Sus scrofa: one gene and its partner. The protein of the gene in region 1 interacts with the protein of each later gene in a biochemical or structural test. Links are inferred from orthologs where the notes say so. Each region holds a gene or a part of one and is shown in the gene's direction. Other genes may lie near its edges.

Region 1 (4,034 bases):
GTAGAAAGGAGAGACACCCCCCCCCCCCCCGTCATGATGACTAAGCAAAGTCCAGCCACCTGCCCCTAACCACCCCTCCCTCACGCATCTGCTGCAGTAAGCTTGCTTCCGCATCTACTACCTTGCCTGACCTCACTCTGGTCCGCCAAGCAGGAGCTCAGAAGAGGTAGCCCATAAAAACTTTGTGAAAGACTTCTTCCGGGCTCAGACTCTGGAGAGCAATCTCCTCTGAGCCTGCCGGCATAATAAACGTGAATTCTCCAACTTTCCCAGTGCTCACTTGGTTTCTCCCTGGGTAAAAGAGCTGAAACACTGCAGCCACAGGGCTGTCGCTAGAGCTGATACGCTGCAGCGCAGGGCTGTTGAGCAGCTGCCTTAACAAAACCAAGTGGGAAAACATTTCAAAATGCATAAAGTTAAAATATTTTCCTTTTGACTTCTTTTGTAATTTTGATTGGTCTAGACTGAAATTAAACAATAAAGCAGTGCCTTATAATTGATGCACATGTTGGCTAAGCCCCAGGATCCTGCCAGTCCTACAGTTTGTTTCCCAAGTACCTGTTAAATTGTAGCAAGTTTGCAGATTCTTTGACCACAGCCTTTCTCAGAAATCATCCTAGAGATGCTTTTACAAGAACTCTGGAAAGCGACCTAAGAGGCTTCCTTACAAATGAAAAGAAACAAGGGTAGTTTGAGGAGTACTAAGGGAAGAATTTAAAAATTATTGTCAAGCTTTTTTGGGGGGGGCGCACCCACTGCACAGAAGAGTGACAGGACCACGGATCGAATCCAAGCCACAGGTAAGAACTATGCAGCAGCTTCAGCAATCTGGGATCCCCAACCCACTGCACAGGGCCAAGGATCAAACTAGCCTCCGCGGCAAACCGGACCCTTAAAGCACTGCGCCACAGCGGGAACTCCATCGGCTTTTAATTTGCCTTTAAGTTTCACTTTTTCTGACAAGAGACCAACCTTGCGACATACCCTGATTTCTGCAGCCTCTGGGAGCAGAAATCAAGAGGGAAATACTAAAGTGCAGTCAATGTGACGACGCAGGGTCTGCGAAGAAAGGACTGCAACACACCGAGAAGACCAGCTCTGGGGGGGCGGGGCGCGGGGCTCGGGTCGGGCAGCGCGCGCAGACTCGGAAGTCCCGCCCCAATGTTAGCCCTCTCTACCTTTGGTTGGTTCTCTAGGTGGGAGGGGCTGTTTTGGCGGGCAGTCGTGACGTCACTAGCCCTTGTCGGGTTGCTACAGCACCGCGCCAAGGTTAGGCTTTTGGGTAGATGGAAGAGAGGGAGGGGCGGGCTCAGAGCGCCCGGAAGGGCTCGCGCGCGGCCCCCGACAATGGTAAAACGGAAGTCCTACTCCTTCGGAGCTCCTCGTCCGGGCGGAAGAAGCGTTCTTCCTCTAGCGGTGGCTGCGTAGCTGCGCGCCTCTGCGGTCTGCGGCTTGGCTTCCGGGAGCTACGGGAGCATCCTCACCTGGTAAGAGAAAGGAGGGGAACTTGGCGCGTGCCTCCTGCGGGGGCCAGAGAGCCCACCATCCGCCCTGCCGCAACGGCTGTTAATGCTGGGAGCAGTCAAGGTTCATTTGTTTTCATTTCGGACGTTTGTCTTAACATGGACAAACACACTTCCTTCCACGGTCGTACTGTTTACCTGACCCTCAGAACACTTTTTTGCTTTAAAGACATTTGATGTTCCCAGTCTCTGAATTCTGGTAGGCTACTGGGCATAAAATTTAAACACAAAACTTAATTCGCTTTCTCCGAACTTGGGCTGTAGATGAGGATTCTTTCTCTTTCAGGTGTTGATGTTGATTGAATATGCCTTTTTAGCATATTAAAATGGCTGTACCCAAGGACGCCATCCCTTCATTGTCGGAATGCCAGTGCCAGATCTGTGTGGAAATTCTATTTGAGCCTGTGACACTCCCTTGTAACCACACGCTGTGTAAACCATGCTTCCAGTCGACTGTCGAAAAAGCAAATTTGTGCTGCCCCTTCTGTCGCCGCCGAGTCTCTTCGTGGACTCGACACCGCACCCGAACAAATTCTCTTGTCAACATGGAACTGTGGAAGATAATTCAGAAACACTATCCAAAAGAATGCAAGCTTAGAGCCTCTGGGCAAGAATCAGAGGAAATTGGTGAGTAAAAATCCAGCTTGTTCATTGTCTAAAAACCAAAATCTTTTAAAAAGCGAATCATCACTAGTCTTTTTTTTTTTTTTCAAGGATAAAAAAAGAAAATCTGGGTTAGTATTTGTCCAAATTTTTCACATCTTTGAGTTTAATGGGCCCTAAAATGTTGGTTAAGGTCACAATGGCAAGATTTGGTTCATTGTTTTAAGGCATAGGCTTAGTTTGGTCGGTGTTTGTTGGGTTAAAAATGAAAAGAAAACCAAAAAAAAAAAAAAGAAACAAAAGAATTACCTACTAGGGTCTTAAATTGTGTCGAAAGTTATATAAATAGTCACAGATGAGCAACAGTCAGTATGGCAGCAGCAGAAGTAAGGAAACTGCTGGATTCCTGTGTTAATATTTTTTTTATTTTCAGTTACTTTTCTCTAACTTTCTTGCCTATACATCTCCATTCATTTAGTTCTTAAGCTTTCAACAAGCCTAAAATAGCTTTCTGTGGCCAGTTTCCTCTAGTTCAGTCATTTTTATTCAAAGCCCTCCACAGTGTGGACTTAACAACTCTTCATTTTGCCCCCAGACTTTAGCGGCTTGACCACTTATGTGGTCATTAAGCCCTGCAGTGTTTCTTCTCCAGGCTTAAATGTGATGTGGATGCTCTGGTGTACTTGCTTTTTTTGGGAATTCTTTTTATTATGGTAAAATTTGCCATTTTAACCATTTTTAAGTGTACAATTCAGTGTCATTAATTACTTTCACAGTGTTTGGAAACTGTCACCACTGTTGCCAAAACTTTCATCACACCAGACAACTTCTTTAACCATTAAGCATCCCATTCTCCTTACTCCATCCCACTCCTGCTTTTCGGAGTTTCTAATCTCTGTGAATTTGCTTGTTCTAGATAATTTATGTAAGTGTATTCATACAGCGAATGATCTGTTGTGTCTGTTTTCTTTCACTTAGCATAATGTTTCATGCCGCCTTCTTTTTCTTTCTTTCTTTCTTTCTTTCTTTCTTTCTTTCTTTCTCTTTTCCTTTTCTTTTCTTTTCCTTTTCTTTTTTTTAAAGGGCCAAACCTGTGGTATATGGAAGTTCCCAAGCTATGGGTTGAATCAGAGCTGCAGCCGCCTGCCTGTGCCACAGCCACAGCCGGAGCAATGCTGGATCCAAACTGCATCTGCAACCTACTCCACAGCTTGTGGCAACATCAGCTCCTTTAACCCACTGAGTGAGGCCAAGGATCGAACCTGAATCCTCATAGATACTACTCGAGTTGTTAACCCACTGAGCTGCAACGGGAAGTCTACCGCGTTCTATCTTTATCAGTACTCCATCCCTTTTTATGGCTGAATAATATTCTACTCTATGGATATATTGTATTTTGTTCCTTCATCCATTGTTGGACATTTGGGTAGTTTCCACCTTTTGGCTATTTCAATAGTACTGATATGAATATTCATGTGCAAGTGTTTGAATGTGTTTTCATTTCTTTTGTGTACATATCTAGGAGTGGAATTGCTGGATCATATGGTAATTCTATGTTTAGCTTTGTGAGGAACTGCCTGGCTAGTGTTTACCATTAAAATTGCCATTGTTTTCACGAGTGCCTTTAGACTTGGGCTAATCCATATTCTGTTCATTGTGAAGTCAGTGTCTTTGAGGGAAATCTTTGGAGCTCTCAGTTCTTACTGCCTGCCTTTTTTCCCTGGGCAAAACATCTGAGCCACTGCTCTCTAGCTGGAAGCAGAGACTACAGCTTATTTCTCTTTGTTGGAACAGGTCAGTGCATAGGCATGCTAGTTCTGGTCTCCTTGACTCTTCTAGAACTTTTTTTGCCCTATGAGTGGGCTGTAATGAGGGCAGTGGGGTCCCAGTTTCTTCTTGCTGTGCCTG
Region 2 (4,204 bases), on another chromosome or scaffold:
CATGCAGGATCCCAGCCACGCATGCCATCTAGTCCACAGCTCAGGGCAACCAAGGATCCTTAACTCACTGAGTGAGGCCGGGAATTGAACTCGCGTCCTCGTGGATACTAGCTGGGTTCTTTAGCGCCAAGCCACAACAGGAACTCCCAATTTTTTAATTTTAAAATTAACAGCAAATTTCCAAAAAAACTTGATAAAACTTTCAGATTGAAACCCAAACTACAGTACTAAAGAGTATATATTTCAAATTTTCTTAATGTCAGAAATACTGAATTATGTTTATAACGTAATTACTGTTAAAACTCCAAGTATGAAAGATTTGGATCACTACTGTCTCCAAGCAGCTGGACGTGTACAGAGGTGCTATTAATCTATTAGTTGGAAAATTAAGTAGCTGGCATTATGATAGTACTGTGTGTACAGTACTATTTTTTTAAGCCCATCATTTGCATTTGATTACATGGACCATCTGTAACTGCCTGTGAATCATATGAGGACATTTACCGAACATTTGTCAAGTAGCAAAATGTTTAGCATAGAAGAGTTGACACATAATAGCCTTCATGTTTCACTAAATCAACTTTAGAAGCCAGGCTATAGGTACAACCCACAGACGTGTAGTCTTTAGAAAAATATGATTTGATTAAAGAATACCGCCTCAGCCCAAGCCTTCAGTGGGTAGACCAAAAGGTCTTTTATGACCAGCGAGGTGACTTTGCTTCACCGTCTTTTCCATGAAACTGTTCTGTTGGGGTTGGGGAGGTAGGGGGTTCAAAAAGTCCTGAGAAAAGAAGAGGAAGGAGATACAGCTGAAAAAGTGGGAGCAGAGGGTCGTGATGAATCGGTGGCTGGGCACTTGCCTAGGAGGAACAAACGCGAAATCACTACCCAGACTATGGTTAGCGAAGGAGTCGGGGCGCCTTTCACTGGACGCCTTCGCGCCACCTGTCAGACCGGAGGTGTCAACGGGAATGCAGGGGGGTCGGTGAAGGTACCCCGTGCTCCGGAAGAAGGCTGCGGACAGGCGGGTCTCTGCCCGCCAGGTGTTCTAACGGGGCGGAGGCGGAGGGAGGGCAGGGCAGGAAGGAGGGAGTGCTAGTCCCCGCTTTCCGAGGTCTCTGGAACCGAGCAAGGAGGCAAAGGTGGAATAGGGGGCAGCTACTGCGTGCCCCTCCCCTGAGCCTCTCAGCTCCTCCCTCCAGGCACGTGACTAAGCCGGCGGGTGCCCTGCTCAAGCAGCGTAGCTCGCTCTGTTTCTTCCCTCCCGCCGCTGTGCCCTTCTTCTCCCGGGTTCCCATCCCTCCGTTCTCCCCCACCTCCTTCTCATGCCCCAATAACAGCTCGAGCTGCAAAGCGCCCGCCCCTCCGCCCTTTTCTTCGCTTGCTCATTGGCTGAGACTTCAAGGACGCGGCCCGAGGGCGGGTGGCAGCCATTGGTGGGATGAGCAATCCGAGTTCCCGGATGAGGGAACATTCTGCAGTATAAAGGGAGCGGGGAAGGCGGGAGACAGCGCAGTTTGAATCGCGGTGCGACGGAGGAGTAGGCGGCGGGATCTCGCTTGGTGACTGACTAGTCCTTTCTCTGCCTTGCTTGTTTGAGCTTCAGCAGAATTCGAAATGGTAAACTTCGCGGAGGCGCTCGAAGACTACGCGGGTTTTTGCCGGCAGGAGAAAAACCCGTTACACACGGAGATGGGGGTGAAGCGGTGACGGTTGGGAACGCGCGGAGAGAGGATGTGGAAGAGCGGGGGGAGGTGTTTTGTCGGCGGCGAGCGGAGCAGCCTCCGATCTCGCGGCGGGCGGCGACGGTTGGGTGGCGCGCGCAGCGCCGCTGGGAGCCGGAGGGCGGTGAGCGGGCGGCCTGAAGCGCGCGGCCGCGGCGGGCGCGCAGCGGGGGGCAGGCGGGCGGGGTCGCCCTTGCGGCGCGCGGCGGGCCGGAGACCCCGGCTGGGCACCGGGCCCCGCTCGCGCCCGGGCCGCCCCGCGGTGGGGGAGGGGCGCGCCGCCTTGGTAATCCTGTATTCTGCGTTCCTTCTTCGCTCGCGGGCGTGTGCGCGCCGCAGGCTGGCGGTAAGGCTGGGAAGGACTCCGGAAAGGCCAAGACAAAGGCGGTTTCCCGCTCGCAGAGAGCCGGTTTGCAGGTCAGTGGGGGTTTCTGCTGTCTGGGAATCGCGGCGTTTTTCTCTCCTTTTTCTCTGTTTATCATTGCACTAGATGAGCTTTTGGTCTTTGCGTGGTGATGGTGTCGGGACTTGGTTTACCGATACAATAAATATTGGGGAAGGGGGGGCGATCACGTGTGGCGATGCTAGGGCGCGTTGCTGCATCAGCCTCCGTGCCCCTTGCTTTGGCGCGCGTATAATTTGACCATTTTTGGCTCCTCTATCTTTGTGCATTTGTGTTTGTGTATGCGAAAAATGAAGTTTCCGGTGGGCCGTATTCATCGACACCTGAAATCTAGGACGACCAGCCATGGACGTGTGGGCGCGACTGCCGCTGTGTACAGCGCAGCCATCCTGGAGTACCTCACCGCAGAGGTAAATGGGTGTACGCCTGTAATCTGGAAAAGGTGGTGGGGGGAGGCGGTGAGAGGGAAGGAGGAAAGTGATGCAAGAAAACTCCCAGGCTCTGAACGCGGTGAGAAGCTTCTGACAACGCTAGAGGGGGCTGGTGTTCATTTTGGGTTCCTCCTGAGCTTGAGTTGACTGCTTTAGGAAATAAAATTGCGTGTCCCCTTTATAGCTTTTGCATATCTTGCCATTCAGGTAGTGGGGGGAGACGGCAGTTGGTAGATACACGTTCACGAAGGTTTGATTCTTCTGGATCTTGATCCTAAGGAAAGTTGGCAGGAGATTGATTAGATTCTGTCTTCTAGGTACTTGAATTGGCAGGAAATGCATCAAAAGACTTGAAGGTAAAGCGTATTACTCCTCGTCACTTGCAACTTGCTATTCGTGGAGATGAAGAATTGGATTCTCTCATCAAGGCTACAATCGCTGGTGGTGGTATGTAAATACTAAAAATTTTTTAATTTCTTTAGATAATTCTTTACTTTTTTCCCCCACTAGAAGAGGACACTTAGTGTTATTTTCAGTGATCTGTAGTATGGTTGCATCATGAAAATTGATTCCTGTATATAACTTAGTGAATTTTTACTTCTGCATACTCTGGCCTCACATTTAAAGACTTCTTCGAAGTTGAACGTTAAACTGTCATGGTTTTGAAGTCCTGTGTTAATTTTCAAAATAATGTATATTTAAAAGTATCCCTTTCCTCCCCTAGGTGTCATTCCACACATCCACAAATCTCTCATTGGGAAGAAAGGACAACAGAAGACTGTCTAAAGGATGCCTGGATTCCTTATTATCTCAGGACTCTAAATACTCTAACAGCTGTCCAGTGTTGGTGATTCCAATGGACTGTATCTCTGTGAAAAACACAATTTTGCCTTTTTGTAATTCTATTTGAGCAAGTTGGAAGTTTAATTAGCTTTCCAACCAACCAAATTTCTGCATTCGAGTCTTAACCATATTTAAGTGTTACTGTGGCTTCAAAGAAGCTATTGATTCTGAAGTAGTGGGTTTTGATTGAGTTGACTGTTTTTAAAAAACTGTTTGGATTTTAATTGTGATGCAGAAGTTATAGTAACAAACATTTGGTTTTGTACAGACATTATTTCCACTTCGGTGGATAAGCTCAATAAAGGTCATATCCCAAACTAGTTGTGTATTAAATTCACTTGATTATGATGGGAACAACTTTTGTTTTGAATAACTATCTTATCCAGCAATAACTTAATAAGCACGTTTCTTACCTTGAAATTAAAATGTTAATTTTGTAGATCAACAAACCTCGAAGGCTAAAGCATATATATATTTTTTAATGCTATGAGATGAACTATTAAAGATTTTAAAACTTCAGTAGGAGCTTGGAACTGGACAAGGTGATGTTTTTTAGGTTAAATTTGATCATCTCAATTTGTCGCTGCACTTGCTGTTTGTGACAGCAGCACTACATCCAGAGCACTGTCATGGACTGGGGCAGGTAGGGAAGTTCTGTATATTGCTACCTCCACAGAAGGTACTTTCAGTATAAACAGTGAAGTGTTTCCTGTGTTCTCCCACTGTTTCAAAGGCTACCTGGATTAAACTGTTCAGTATGCACCATCTAATCCCGTTTTTACAGAAAAGAATCAAGGTTGGAG

Evidence for each region.
Region 2: of the proteins of RNF168 (region 1) and H2AFZ, one has a biochemical effect on the other in vitro, tested with the Homo sapiens proteins (3 studies listed by BioGRID, with this or other methods). The link is inferred for Sus scrofa from reciprocal best matches to the Homo sapiens genes RNF168 and H2AZ1.

Annotation. Positions count from the first base shown.
Region 1 is NC_010455.5:133,624,312-133,628,345, forward strand, and holds the start of RNF168 (E3 ubiquitin-protein ligase RNF168), read left to right. Parts: upstream 1-1,234; 5' UTR 1,235-1,487; exon of another isoform or gene 1,488-1,722; intron 1,723-1,809; 5' UTR 1,810-1,849; coding exon 1,850-2,150; intron 2,151-4,034. UniProt on the Homo sapiens protein: E3 ubiquitin-protein ligase required for accumulation of repair proteins to sites of DNA damage. Acts with UBE2N/UBC13 to amplify the RNF8-dependent histone ubiquitination.
Region 2 is NC_010450.4:120,562,320-120,566,523, forward strand, and holds H2AFZ (histone H2A.Z), read left to right. Parts: upstream 1-1,432; 5' UTR 1,433-1,617; coding exon 1,618-1,620; intron 1,621-2,063; coding exon 2,064-2,141; intron 2,142-2,423; coding exon 2,424-2,537; intron 2,538-2,875; coding exon 2,876-3,005; intron 3,006-3,282; coding exon 3,283-3,344; 3' UTR 3,345-3,704; downstream 3,705-4,204. UniProt on the Homo sapiens protein: Variant histone H2A which replaces conventional H2A in a subset of nucleosomes. Nucleosomes wrap and compact DNA into chromatin, limiting DNA accessibility to the cellular machineries which require DNA as a template.